2 linked regions of the Caenorhabditis elegans genome follow. The protein of the gene in region 1 interacts with the protein of each later gene in a pairwise test. Each region holds a gene or a part of one and is shown in the gene's direction. Other genes may lie near its edges.

The links.
Region 2: the proteins of sas-1 (region 1) and cyld-1 interact in a two-hybrid assay, tested with the Caenorhabditis elegans proteins (one large-scale study listed by BioGRID).

The regions. Positions count from the first base shown.
Region 1 is NC_003281.10:12,695,995-12,703,683, forward strand, and holds the start of sas-1 (C2 domain-containing protein), read left to right. Parts: upstream 1-3,499; 5' UTR 3,500-3,504; coding exon 3,505-3,577; intron 3,578-5,213; coding exon 5,214-5,346; intron 5,347-6,256; coding exon 6,257-6,371; intron 6,372-7,689.
Region 2 is NC_003281.10:9,906,334-9,914,173, reverse strand, and holds the start of cyld-1 (ubiquitinyl hydrolase 1), read left to right. Parts: upstream 1-3,515; 5' UTR 3,516-3,516; coding exon 3,517-3,553; intron 3,554-3,605; coding exon 3,606-3,763; intron 3,764-3,818; coding exon 3,819-4,058; intron 4,059-4,451; coding exon 4,452-4,577; intron 4,578-4,857; coding exon 4,858-4,934; intron 4,935-4,977; coding exon 4,978-5,086; intron 5,087-7,121; coding exon 7,122-7,226; intron 7,227-7,840. Other genes in the region: F40F12.9 (CCHC-type domain-containing protein), read right to left, coding at 494-624, 896-1,027, 1,075-1,153.

The DNA.
Region 1 (7,689 bases):
TTGACAAAAAGATCGTTTTAAATGAAATTTTGAACAAAAAATCGAGAAAACCCGACGAATTTAGCCCGACAATATCGAAAATGACGCAAAGAATTTTTGAAAAATTTTCAACTGTAATATTCTGTCGTTATTGGGTCTATTTTCTGCCATTTAAAGCAATTTTTTGCGTAATTTTACATAAAAACCGCCAAAAAAGACCGAATTTCATAGTAAAATTGTTCAAAATTATGTCAAAAGTGTTTAAATTTTTAGTAAAAATAGTTTAACTCTAAAATTTCGTACTTTTGAGATTTTTTTGCAAGAAAAATGTCTCAAATTTGTTTAAATCCGGCCGAGTTTCAGATTTCAACCGTTTTTGTTTTTGGCAAAATTTTGTAAAGTTTTACTATGAAATTCAGTATTTTTTTTGGATTTTCCTGATTTTTTTCCGAATTTCAGCAGATTTTTACAGAATTTAACCCTTTTTTCTTTTAAAAATTTGTTGAACTTTCTATAAGTAGCGTCGCGCAGAAAAAGAGGCGGAGCGTAATTTTGCAACCCTGCGGCACGGTTTTTCTTCAAGATTCCTCCTTTTTCATTCAAAAAAAAAGAGAATAAAACAAGTAAAATTGGAACTTTATTGGAAAAATCAACAGAAAAAGCCATGCCGCAAGGTTGCAAAATTACGCCCCGCCTCTTTTTCTGTGCGGCACTGCACAATTCACGGATCTTCAAAAAACCCGAAATATTTTCAAATTTTCAGAAAATTTTTGGGTTAAGACGGAGCTCAAAGACGCTGATTGGTCAGAGAGTGGGCGGGGCGAATCGCTGATTGGTCGGAGAGTTCTTAGTGATTTTCTGGTTTTTATAGAAAATTCCGATAATTTTTGGGATTTCGATTGTTTAAAAAAATCCAAAATAGTCTCAAATTCAAAAAAAAACCACAAAAAACGGAAAAAATCGCGAAAACTCCCCGACCAATCAGCGACTCGCTCCGCCCATTTTCGGACCAATCAGCGTCATCGAGCTCCATTTAACCCAAATTTTATAGATTAAAGATGAACGTAAAAATATAGAAAAATATTCAATTAGTTTGAAAATAAAATTTATTTTTTAACAATTTTATTTTCAAACTAATCGAATATTTCTATATATTTCTACATTCATCTTCAATCTATAAAATTTGGGTCAATACGGAGCTCAAAGACGCTGATTGGTCAGAGAATGGGCGGGGCGAATCGCTGATTGGTCGGAGAGTTCTTAGTGATTTTCTGGTTTTTATAGAAAATTCCGATAATTTTTGGGATTTCGATTGTTCAAAAAAAAATCCAAAATAGTCTCAAATTCAGAAAAATCACAAAAAAACTTTAAAAAATCGCGAAAACTCAAATTTTCAGACCCCAGACGACATTGAAACACTCGCTTCCGTAGACGAAGATGGTATTAATCTAGAAGAAGACGCATGTACAATTAAATTCGATTCGATTCGCCGGAAAAATGACGATAATTCCGTGGAAAACGGGCAAAATGCCGCCGATTTATCCGATGAAACGGATGAATGGGATGTACAGAGACCAGATTCAGGAGATGATGATCCTTGAGTTCGTTTTAGACGTCGTCGTCGTGATGGTTGTGTGTGTGTGTGTAGAATCGTTATTTCCGTTGTTGTAGCTGTTTCTCATAATTTTTAAATTTTTTTTCCCAGCAAATTTGGGTTATTTTCGATAATTTTAACAATTTTTGCTGTAAAAATTATCTAAAATTCAGAAAAACCGCTAAAAACTTCCCGACCAATCAGCGATTCGCCCCGCCCACTCTCTGACCAATCAGCGTCTTCGAACTCCATATTGATACAAATTTTATAGATTGGAGATAAATGTAGAAATATAGAGAAATATTCGATTAGTTTGAATTTTTTTTAGATTCGATGTTTTTACATACATTTTTGATTTTTAAAATTTGGGTTAATATGGAGTTCGAAGACGCTGCTTGGTCTGAAATGGGCGGAGCAAGTCGCTGATTGGTCGGGGAGTTTTCGCGATTTTTCTGAATTTGAGACTATTTTGGATTTTTTTTCAAACAATCGAAATCCCAAAAATTATCGGAACTTTCTATAAAAACCAGAAAATCACTAAGAACTCTCCGACCAATCAGCGATTCGCCCCGCCCACTCTCTGACCAATCAGCGTCTTTGAGCTCCGTATTAACCCAAATTTTATAGATTGAAGATGAATGTAGAAATATCATTTACTATATATAAAGCGCGTGTCCTTCCGTCCGTTTGTAGTTTGTAGTTTGATCTTTGGTCTTTGAACTCTGTAGTTTGTAGTCTCAATCACCTAAGAGGGGTCCTATAGCCCCCGCCCCTTTTGTGACGTCATCACAAATTGGCGGGAAATTCAAATTTTCTGAGAAATCATTTTGGCGGGATTTCAAATTTGAATTTTTTGAAAATATTTTGGCGGGAATTCAAATTTTAATTTTTTTGAAAATATTTTGGCGGGAATTCAAAATTTAATTTTTTTGAAAATATTTTGGCGGGAATTCAAAATTTAATTTTTCGAAAACATTTTTGGCGGGAATTTAAATTTTTAATTTTTTGAAAATATTTTGGCGGGAATTCAAAATTTAATGTTTTGAAAATATTTTGGAGGGAATCCTAATGTTCAAAAAGTGGACATTTTCACCTTTTTTCATGAGATATTTTTGTAGGATTAATTGAATTGATGATATGTGTCAAACATGTCAAATTTTGCCAGTCGTTAGCACGCGCCTTGGCGCGTGCTAGCGGCTGGTAGAGAAATATTCGATTAGTTTGAAAATAAAATTGTTAAAAAATAAATTTTATTTTCAAACTAATTGAATATTTTTCTATATTTTTACGTTCATCTTTAATCTATAAAATTTTGGTTAATACGGAGCTCGATGACGCTGATTGGTCCGAAAATGGGCGGAGCGAGTCGCTGATTGGTCGGGGAGTTTTTTCGCGATTTTTTCCGTTTTTTGTGGTTTTTTTTGAATTTGAGACTATTTTTTGGATTTTTTTAAACAAGCGGAATCCCAAAAGTTATCGAAATTTTCCTATATTTATTCATTTTGTATATCTGTAAATCTATGACCTTTTTTCTTTTTTTTCGATTTTTTTTCCTCATTTTCCTCTTAATATGGTGCATTTTAGCTGTGATTTTCTCATTTCCCATGCTAGTTTTTTATTTTTATTTTTGTCAAAAATTCAATAATTCTGGTCAAAAATTGGACCAAAAATTAATTTTTTTTCTCTCTCTGTCCTCCCCTCTCATCTAATACCTATTAATTATTATTATCAGTTACGTGTAATTTTTTTTCCGTTTGTGCCTAAAAAAAACATAATTTTTGGAATAAAATTCCGTGATTTAGAATTTTTTTTTGCAATTTTTTTTCGTGGTTGTGGTAGTGGTTTTGTGATCCATTTTAAGCTTATTTCGATTTTTAATTTATATATTTAATTTTTTTTTTTTCAAAATTTTAAAACTTCTTTCAGAACTAATGAAGCCGAGAAGGGCACCAGTAATTGTCAAAGCTTTTGATGAAAATTTTCAGAGACCCACCGAGGAAAGAGGTACATCCAAATGAGTCGAAATTGAAATTTTAAGAAATTCAAAAAAATTCAAAAAAAAACTTTTTTTTTTTTTCTTTTTTTTTATTTTTTCACAAAAAAATTCGATTTGTTGGTACTTTTCAGAACAAAATTAAAAAACAAAAAATAACGATTTTTAAATTAAAAAAAAAAGATGAGAAATTGATGAGAAAATGACGGAAATTATGAAATTTTCTAATAATTTTTTTTTTCGATATTTCCAAAATTCGAAAATTTTTGTTCTTTATTCTTCAAAAAAATCTTTTAAAAAACACTGCAACTTTTTCCTCACGAGGGACGAGGAAAAATGGTTTCTAGGCCACGGCCGAGGGGCCGACAAGTTTCAGCGGCCATTTATCTTGCTTTGTTTTCCGCCTGTTTTCTTTTGTTTTTCACAGTTTTTTCCCGTTTTTTCTTATTAAAACTGATAAATAAATACTTTTTGCAGATGCTAAAACAATTTCCAAGTGAAAAAATCATGTATTCAGTGGGCAATAGGGCTGTGCGGCTGATGACTCGGCTGATGGAGCAAATCAACGTTTTTCAACGTATTAGCAATGATCAATTAGGGAATACTTGTATTTGCCATATCGGCTGAGTCTTGAGCTTCTGATTCTAGAAAAAAGTTTTTAAAAAAGTGCACACCCCTTCCAGAAAAACTCGTTTTTCCAATCAGCCGACAGCCGACAGCCGAGTTACTCGGCTGATTCAAAAAGCCGACTGTTTTGTCAAGGTGTGTGCACTTAAAAAAAACTTTTTTCTAGAATAAGAAGCTCATGACTCAGCCAATACTGCAAATACAAATATTCTTTAATTGATCAGTGCTAACACGTTGAAAAACTTGATTGTCTCCATCAGCCGAGTCATCAGCCGCACAGCCCTAGTGGGCAAGCAACGGTGAAAGTGGGCATCGTAATATGATGGATTACGGGAATACAAAACCTAAACTTTTTCTGAAACATGATACATATGATGCTTAGATGCTGAAATTACCTGATTTTCATAACGAGACCGCTGAAAAAGTTTTGAGGTTTTCAGAATTCAACTTTTTGTGCGAAAATCTCGACTTTTTCACCAAAAAATTTGAATTTTGAAAACCTCAAAACTTTTTCAGCGGTCTCGTTATGAAAATCAGGTAGTCTCAGCATTTAAGCAGCGTATGTATCATGTTTCAGAAAAAGTTTAGGTTTTGTATTCCCGTAATCCATCATATTGCATTGACCACTTTCACCGCTGCTTGCCCACTGAATACATGATTTTTTTACTTGGAAATTGTTTTAGCATCTGCAAAAAATATTTATTTATCAGTTTTAATAAGAAAAAACGGGAAAAAGCTGTGAAAATACAAAAGAAAACAGGCGCAAAACAAAGCAAGATAAATGGCCGCTGAAACTTGTCGGCCCCTCGGCCATGGCCTAGAAACCACTTTTCCTCGTCCCTCGTGAGGAAAAAGTTGCAGTGAAAACGCGAGATTTTCCGACATAAAAATTCAAATATCGAATAATTTCCAGTGCTTTTTTTTCCATTTTTGAAATCAAAATCAATTTTTTTAAAACAATAATTAGATTTTCCGGAAAAAAAACCCCGCGAAAAAGCGAAAACGATTTTTTTTTTGCAGATCCATACGATGATGTTCAAGTGGAAAAAGTGCTCAAAGATTTGTCATTTATACGAATTAAATTAGATCAGATCGTCCTACCGGACATTAATCCATTCATTCAGAAATTGCATAACTATCGGGAATTTTTCGGGTGAGATAATCGTCGTTTTTTTGTTTTCGGAAAAGTTGAATTTCCCGCCGAAGCAACTTTTTTTTTCTGAAAAAAATGAATTTCCGCCACAAAATTACCGCCAAAAATTGAAAAATGATGATTTTCCATCCAAATTTTTATCAGAAAATTTGAATTCTCAGCTAAAAAATGTTTTTTTCTCGAGAAAAAATTGATTTTTTCGCCGAAATTTAAAGGAGGACTAACGGTTTGGACGATTTTGAACGTATAGACCCAAAATGAGCTCAAATGAACGAATTTCGTAATGAAACTGCTCAAAAAATTTTCAAAAATTTTTTATGGCGGTTCAAAATTTCGAAAAAATTACACTGATTTTAGTTAAAATCACGAATTTTTCCCATTTTTCCGTGTCACATCCGTCCGAAGTTGGCTTTTTTGGAATTATCGTCCTTTATTACATATTTTGGTAGTTTATCTCATTTAATTTCGTCGATTAAAGTACATTTAAAGCCGATAGGTAACCAAAAATCATCGAAATTAGTTACCTATCGGCTTTAAATGTACGTTAATCGACTAAATTAAATGAGATAAACTACCAATATATGTAATAAAGGACGATAATTCCGAAAAAGCCAACTTCGGACGGATGTGACACGGAAAAATGGGAAAAATTCGTGATTTTAGCTAAAATCTGTGTAATTTTTTCGAACTTTTGAACCGCCATAAAAAATTTTATGAGACATGTTTGAGAAGTTTCATTACGAAATTCGTTCATTTGAGCTCATTTCGGGTCTATACGTTCAAAATTGTCCGAACCGTTAGTCCTCCTTTAAATAAATAAAATTTCCAGGCCAATTTATTCTCAAAAATTTGAATTTCCCACGAAAAATTTTGCAAAATTTATAATCTTAACAAATTTTTCAATTTCCAGATTCCAACTCGAATACACATTTCCATGCCTAGATGCAGTTTCAAAATCGCTTAAAACTACCATTAGAATTCCGGAAAAAGAGGTCGATATTATGAAGATTGTATTTAATCATAGAGTCAGTTTTTCATCTGAAAATTCAGAAAAAGCGTGAAAAATCACTAAAAAAATCGCGAAAAATGAAAAATTCAACTCAAAAAATCGATTTTTCAATTTTTTCGTTGAATTCCGTCCAAAAAAAGAAAAGCGACCAATCAGCGTTTCGCCCCGCCCACTTTTCAACCAATCAGATTTTTATTTTAAAAAAAAGCTTTAAAAATCAAAATATGACTTCCCGACCAATCAGCATCTTCGAACTCCGCCCACTCCGCCTGATTGGTTGAAAAGTGGACGGAGCGACGATCGCTGATTGGTCGCAGCTCATTTTGGAGGGAATTTAACTAAAATTGAAAAATCGCGTTTTTAAAGCAATTTTCGTGTTTTTTTTTTAATGGTGCGTCCATAGTCTGCGGAAAACGGGAATTTCCCGCGTGCGGAAGCGTCCATAGTCTGCGGAAAAAACAAGGAGTTTCTCGCTTTTTTTTTCCTCAAAATTCAAAAAAGTAGGCGTGGCCAACCAATCAGCTGTTGTTTCTTGTTTTCCCATTGCTCAGCTTAAAATTTTACAGCCTCTAATTGGTTGAACACGCCCACTATTTTGAAATTGACCAATAACAAAGCGAGAAACTCCTTGTTTTTTCCGCAGACTATGGACGCTTCCGCACGCGGGAAATTCCCGTTTTCCGCAGACTATGGACGCACCATAAATATTTTATGTTTTTTGTTGGATTTTTGAAGCAAAATTTGCTGGGAATTATGAAAATTTGTTAAAAGTTTTCAGCTTTCAGTTTGAGTTTTTTCCAACTAAAAAAAGTGTAAAATTCTGAAAAATAACGAAAAATAAATAATTCAACTCTAAAAAGCGTGATTTTTCAAATTCCCTCCAAAATGAGAACTGCCCCTGACCAATCAACGCCTCGCCCCGCCTACTTTCCAACCAATCCGCGATGAAGTGGGCGGAGTTTGAAGATGCTGATTGGTCGGGGAGACTTTTTCTTTAAAAAATCGAAAATAGTCTCGAATTACGAAAAATCACAGAAAAACGCAAAAAATGGCGAAATTATAAAACTCTGACCAATCAGCGTTCTCGAACTCCTCCCACTCCACCTGATTGGTTGGAAAGTGGGCGGAGCGACGATCGCTGATTGGTCGGGCAGTTCTCATATTGGAAGGAATTTAACTAAAATTCAAAAATCGCGATTTAAAATTTTTTTTTTTGAATTTTATGTTTTTTGTTAGATTTTCTGAAGCAAATTTTGATGGAAACACTCACGAGGGACGAGGAAAAGTGGTTTCTAGGCCATGGCCGAGGGGCCGACAAGTTTCAGCGGCCATTT
Region 2 (7,840 bases), 2.8 Mb from region 1:
TTGTAACAAATGAGAGAACTGACGAATATTGCATCACAATTTGGTTTTGAATATCATTCGTTGATTTGTACATTTTTAACTCATTTATAAAATATAGGAAAGAAAGGAAAAATTATACACAAAAAGCAATGTTTTGTAAGAAATGTATTACAAGTCGCTAAAAGTTTTGCTCTGAATCACTTGTTTTAAGAATGAGCAAAAGCGAAATGAAATGAAAGAGTGGATGTTATCAGTAAATAGCATGTGATACACTGCGATTGTGAAATCGGAAAGTAACCGAAATGATAATTATCGTTTTTGCTGGTGACGCCATTGATGTACTGTGTTACTATTTCAACATAGTGAAACACTATGTTGAGTGTGAAAATTTATAAAAACTCGGTGCGTATATGGACTATTAATTAAATGTTGCACTTTATTCTGCCAAATTTATTTACAGTACAAAGACGCAACATCACTTATGCATGCAGAGAATGAGAACAAAAGCAGCTCTTCAAAATTGCACTGGATTCTTGTAGACATCGCATGGAGCTCGAAGCATCAGTGGCTTTCTGGTGATGTGGCAGACACTATTAGATGCAAACGTCGTGTTGTAAACTGCCAGCAGAGCAATGAGAAAAACAACTGAAAAAGTGATCATTAGTATGAAAACCAGAAAACGTAACGAACGTCTTTTCACATAGATTGAACACAATATTCTCAAGTTTCTATTAAAGTATGTTTTATGACACATTTATCCAAATTCCTTTGAAAAAGTAAAAATATTTTATTATCAACAAATATAAAGCTATTTTTGCACGAATAAAAGTTAAGAGACACGATAAGTTATTTCATGAACTTGAAGTTTTTTGGCATTGATAACAACTTTTCAATTCGCTGTTTTCCCCGTGATTACATTTTTTCTCTATTTGTGATGGGCATTCTCGGTAATAATGTCCACGGAATCCACATTTGAAACATGCTTTAGGTTGTTCTTCAGGGCAATCACGAGACATATGACCAAGTTTGTGGCAGTTGTAGCATATACCTGTAAGAAACAAGTAACTTAATTATTATGCCATATAAAGTTTAAACTTTGTTCCAAATTGTGCATGCTTGAGGTTTCAGAACTGTCAGTGGGTTCTTGAAATTTACAGCAATTGTTATGGGGCATGACTGAAAATTCGGAATATTGATAGTGAGTCACAAATATTTACAGGTAAAGTAGCTCTAACTAAATAATACGGTAAAACTTTTCAAAATTAATTTTTAAAAATTTTGGCATTAATAAGTGACTGAACATTTTTGGCAGTTTGCCAAAACTTTTACTGTGAATTTTCACATTTCTGGAAAATGTAAAAATTCTTTATTAATAATAAATATAATACTATTTTCTAGCAAATGAAAAGTTATCTGTTTAGATATATAATTGTACATATTTGGTAATCAAGAAAATGTTGAAATATTTCTTGCGAAACCTCTCTGACCATGTGCCAAGAGAATTAGACACACTGGCAAAAAGAAACGCGGCAGTTTGAATTTAATATTTTTTTTGTATTCAGTTTCCGTCCTACCTGGCTAGATAATATATTTTTCACTTCTATATTAATAGTTTTTCTCCAAGTTAGTTTTTCAATTAATTTTTTTTAAAATCCTATTTCTCTCTTCAAATTCTAAGTATTTTATCTCAAACTCCTTTTAAAAAGCGACTACTGGAGACTTTAAGATGAGCCCCGGTTATTATTATCGCTACGAGACCCATCTGAATGAATCCGTGCGTCTTTAAGTTCACATTATAGTATTATGGTTCCAAACTTAAGGCCACACAATAGTTCAACACACGTCATTTCTAGCTAAAAAATATTATCTTGAATAACTCAATGTTCAATAGGAGAGACGAAAAGATAATTTAATGTATTTTCTGTTGATACTTTTAACTATTAATTTTGTTTATTAAATGTGATAACTTCCACTATTCCATAAGATGGATTCAGTTACATTTTTATTGCATTCAATTGTTGTTTATATTGGTGCGCAAGTCCAATCGAATGCGTTGTCCGTCTATCCTCAAGAGAACCGGTCTTTCCGTTTCCTCGACTTTTATCGATTTTTGCATTGAACTGCGTGTTCGGTTTGATTTAAAAAAGGTTCTGTATTTTTTAATTTATATTTTAAATTTGAATTTTCAAAAAACTTTCCAGCTACATTTCGAGTTCTCGTCTTCTTCAAAATGTCCAATCTTTTTGACAAATAAACTCATGTGCCTGGACCGCACTCAAACAAACGTACATGCAATCTGAATGTTACATCTTTTCTTTATTTATCTCAAAAAATTTGTATTTACCCAAATACTCATTTAAATAGCCACAACATTTTTAGTCATGTTGGTACCCTTGAAAAGGTTGCTCTAAACTTTAAATTGTCAATTTGAAGCTCTATTTGAGATGGGGTGGGCTCTGGGAATCTTGTTATCTGCTCACTGGGTTTTTGTCGGTTTTCTTTCATTCTAAAGCAATTCTGGATATTTTTGAAATTTTGATTTCTGAAAACTTTCCACTTTCCACTTTCCACTAACTACTATCTTTTTTCTTCGTTTTATTTCAAAAAGAAAGAAATAAAGCGAAAAATTATGTTAACCTGTCGCTAAATATCGGAAAATCTCATATTGGCTGGGTACCGCCACGCGATGTATAATTAAAATAAAATTTTAGTGTGTGCGCCTTTAAATGTTACTGTAGAATTTTAACAATGTTTTTTTAACTATAAAAACAATTAATTTTGAGTTAAATAACAAAATAATGGAACATTTTAAAAAAATTAGAAGACACAATAATTTTCTTTCCGCAAATAAAATCGAAGAAAACAAGCCTAGAAATTGTACAGTAACAGGCGCAGACACCAAAACTTTATTTCCAGCGCGCGCGGCGAGACCCATCCGCAGACATGCACCTCCCTTGAAACATGTTTGAATTTTTATTTTTGTTTTGTTTCATTTAAATGCATTTTTGAACATTTTCAGCGATTTTTAAAGATTTTTTCGTCGTAAATTCCGTAATAAATTTTTCAGAAACATGCTCAACCTTTGCCTACATTTTTTCGCATAAAATTTACCATTTTTGAAGAGAATCGCAATTTTAAATGGCATTTGCAACATAAACTATCTGCTCCGCAAGCCTCTTATCATTTTCCCTCGCTTTCTGTAAATAATTGTGTCAAAGCTCTCGTTCTCTCATTCTCTTTCGAAAACGTTCTCTGTCATTTGCTTGCTCGATGTTTTATTTTTCGGCAAAAAAAACCTAGCGCGCAAGGAAAACCCGAGGTCAAAACCAAAAATATTATTCAACACCAAATAGGTATATGATGCGGAAGTCTAATAATTGTTTGGACAACGTCCTTTTCTATTTGCTCACCGAAACGTAACACTGAGCTTCGCGCGCGCGCTTCGTCCACCGCTCTCCACTTATAGTACGAATCTTTATTTCATTTATTGAAATGTTGTCGTTCGTCAAACGTTCTAAACAACCCGCATATTTCAGAATGCCCGGCGAATTTGCAAAGTTTCCGGAGCAATCAGGTATTTTACGAAATAATAATAATTTTTTTTAAAACTATGTTTTTAATTTCAGCTGGATCTCATCAATTTCGTAACCCACTCGATGAACTTACGGGATCAAATACAATAACAAATTTAACTGCACACGATTTTGATTATTTTACACAGTCCGAGAAAAATTCAAATTTATATACAAGTGAAAATACAAGCAATTCTAACAGATTAAATCTCGTAAGTAACATTATTCTTGCTAAATCGATTTTTAAAAATTCGTTTTTTTTTTCAGAATCAAAATATACCGGTCGGCACATTAATAGATGGATTTGAGCTTATTAATGAAGCTTCTGGCTCCGGCTTTTTAGATGATCAATTAGTGGATGTTAGCGATTATAGCCGAGATAGGACGACGAAGCTGGATAGGAATAGGAATTCTCCCGAGCTAATAGTTGCTCTTTTGCAACGAAAAGTTCAAGGAATTCGATTTTCATCGAATTATGGAAGAGAGGAAGAACCATGTGTTATTGAGGTGATTGAAGTGGATTTAAATGAGGAAAATGAGCCAAAAAGACCGAATAGCGATAGTTTTCGGGGAAAAAAACAGAATTTCATCTAAAATCGCCAATTCTCCGTGTCGTAGCTGCCGAAATTTGATTTTTATTTATTTTTTGTCATCTTTAAGTTTTTTAAACGCTTTTTTTGTTGATTTAGGTAATTTTTGAGCCGATAATCGATTGATCAACGGAGAAACAACCAAAATATGAGAAAAAAATCCGGCCGACACTCAAAAGCGTGCATAATTTGATGTTTTAGCTGAAATCATGTTTTTGTAAAGCATTTTGGAGAAGTTTCGTTATGAAATTTGGTCTTTTGCTTATTTTTTCCACAATTAAACATTTTTAATTTTATTTTCTATTTTCAGATCCCACCAGGAACAATGGTTCGCGAAATGGCAGATGATGATTGGAAAATGTCTGAATTAAAAGAATGGTTCACAAAATCAAGAGCTTCTTCGCATTTACGTGATGGATTAGCAATGCCCATGGAGGTATCGTAATTACCCTGATTTTTGCGGCTAAAACTACGGTAGCGGGTCTCGACGCGACAAATTTAAAAGAACTGTAATTCAAAATTTTCGTTCCCGGCGAATTTTCATTGAATTTGTATAGTTTTTCTCCAGAATTCTTGTTTTTTTTTTTGAAAAAACGATTAAAAAATCGATAAAAATTCCAAAAATTTGTCGTTTCGAGATCGGCTACCGTATTTTTGGCACAAAATTTTTCGTCAAATTAATGCCTTTTCAGTTTCTCAATTTTTTTAAATTTCAGGAACTCGACTGCACTCCTCTGATTTGTGCAATGATTACCAGATCCGATGTAATGAGAATAAACCAAGATCAAGCAATGTATATTTATTATCTTTATAAATAAAATTTTTTCCCTTTTCAGACATCTTCTGGCTGTCAGTGTAGAGAAACGAATAGAAGTTTATCAAAATTTCGAATGGTTCAATTTCATTCTGAATCTGAAAATTGGCGATTCTGTTTCTGTGGAAGTGGTAAGTATTTGAAATTATATGTTTCTCAAAGGAATCTAGTTTTTAACCAAAAAAAAAGAAAAATAAAACAACGAATTCAAAATAAAGAGACGCAGACGAGAAATGGGCGTCTCCTTGTATTCAGAATTAGACTGTCACACGTGACTGATTGAAATTCCGATGGCATGACTAACTTATAAGTTTCTTGAAAATAATATAATGGGATAGGAATTAATGGCCCACGAGTCACATTTTTTGCTAGGCCTCTGTAAATTCCGCTCTGACAAAGTCAATTTTCCGGCTTTAATTAAAAAAAAAAACGAATTTTTTTGAAAATCGAAAAAAAATTGGAGTCTCTTGCTCGAATAATGAAATTTTTTTGTTTTTTCGAATGAAATAGTGATTGTGCCTCATCTTAAATAGTTTACTAGTGTCCAAAAAATCGAGAAATTTTCGTTTTTATTTTTTATTCTCAAACTCTCGATTTATATTTATCTCTTCTGGTCCGGGAAAAAATTAAATCCGGGAAAATTTCAAATGTACAAAAAAAATACATCCACATAGATTATGATACTTCTGATAAAGGGTGTCGTTTTTCGGTTTTTCCAAAATAGAAAAATTGGAAATCGAAAAACAAAAATTCTCGATTTTTCGAATTTTTAAAAATTTCGGAAAATCGAAAAATCAAAAAGACAATTTTTTTTCAGAAAATTAACCATAAAATATGATTTTTAAAGTTTAATTTCGTTTACATTGTTGAGAAAAAAACAAAACAATTTATTCTAAAATGAAGAACAATGAACAAAATTTTAAAGCTAATTTTAGAAAAATCGAAAAATGAAATAGAGAACCGGTTCACGATATCATTGACACTGACCGAAATATGTTTTATTGAACAACATCGAGAGGGATTAAGCATACAGTCGGCAGAAAATTGAGAAATTCTTTCAGTTTTAATTTTAATTTGAATCAGAAGCAAGGGCGTCGGGTTTTCAATTTTTGAAAAAACTAAAAATCGAAAAATCGAAAACTTTTTAGAAAAATCGAAAAATGAAAAGTTTTCGATTTTTCGATTTTTAGTTTTTTCAAAAATTGAAAACCCGACGCCCTTGCTTCTGATTCAAATTAAAATTAAAACTGAAAGAATTTCTCAATTTTCTGCCGACTGTATGCTTAATCCCTCTCGATGTTGTTCAATAAAACATATTTCGGTCAGTGTCAATGATATCGTGAACCGGTTCTCTATTTAGTTCTTTCTCTCTCTCTTTTCAACACAAAAAACATAGAGTTCCTCTTTCTCTGTGTGAAAGTATAAGTTATCCTCTTCTCTCTCTCTCTCTCTCTCTCTCTAACAAACTATTTGCCTGTTTAGTTGTTTCTTTCTTTCCTCTTCATCGTCTCAACCAACTTGTTTCTCATTTCATTGGCGACGCCCTTCCTTCTCCCAATTTGTTGTCATCGAACTTGAATTGATTGAAACAAAATCAGTTGGACAAACTTTTTTTGGTGATATTTTTCTTCTTTTTTTTGTCTGATGCACAATGATGTTTTGTTCGTTGGCTGACGCATTCGCTGCCCCGTTTTCAATTTCAGTTCCATTTTTTTTCATCCCTTTTCCATACAATCATTGCCTACCTACCTTTTTTCGTGACGCAGAAAAATAATAGAACATTTTTTGGTGTGTTTAAAAACCTATGGTGGTTCAAAAATTCCTTTAAAAATTTGTTAATTTTAGCTAGAATCAATCTCCAATTTTTCGTGTCTCAGCAGTCTTAAATTTTAAAACGATATGAACTCTTTGACCATTTGCGCTACAGTAGTCATTTCAAAAACTACTGTAGTTTTCGCTACGAGATATTTTACGCGTCAAATATATTGCCAAATCCGCATTTTCAGAATTAAATAATATAGTGAAACTGCCTCAAAACCAGCGAATTTCATAATAATAATTCTTGAAAAAATTTTAAAAATTCATAGTAAAGCACAAGAACCATTAGTTCCTTTTTTTAATTTTGAGCTCTTTTTTTCTGAAAACTTCAATATAATTTATTTTCAGGACGAAACAATGCGACGGGTTCCAGCAAAAGTGTCGTGGATCGGTGAGAGACCGGAAGCATCAGGAATATGGTATAATGTGGACTTTGACGGGAACACTTCTCAGGTTAGTTAGCTGTCTCCTCGTGAGGCAATTATTGTGGCCGTCCTGACGTCTTCCAGTTCTACTTCTGCCTCTACTTATTTCAAAAAGTGACGTCTTCTTCTATTCCTCCGGCTGTATGGTGCCTAGTTCCTTCCTTCCCTTCTTACTTCTGCGCTTCTCATCGACTTCTTTTTCTTGAACAAACGAACAAGCGGCTCCTTGTTTATGGGGTGTGTGCACCAAATGAACATGAAAAGTTGGCTCTCTCTCTCTCTCTTGCTTTTCCTTTCACTGACAAAACAATTAGAAGACGTTCGGGGCTTTCACTGAATCGTTTTTCCTCTTTTTTCGAGACCAAAAAATAACGATTCTATGAAAGTTTTAGTATTTTACAATCTGAAAAGTGTTTAGTTTGTCCAAAAACTCTCATTACATATTTAAAGATTTCTATGAAAAGTTCGAAGCTTTTTTGGAGAAATTGCTAAAAAGCTATATGGAATGTTTTTCAAAAAAAAAATTACCGAAAATTCCTTTCAAAAAATTACGACAAAATTCAACATTCAACATATGAGTGCAAATGTTTTATTTTTTCAATTTTTATTCTCAAAAAACAAACATTTTGCAGGCCGCCATAA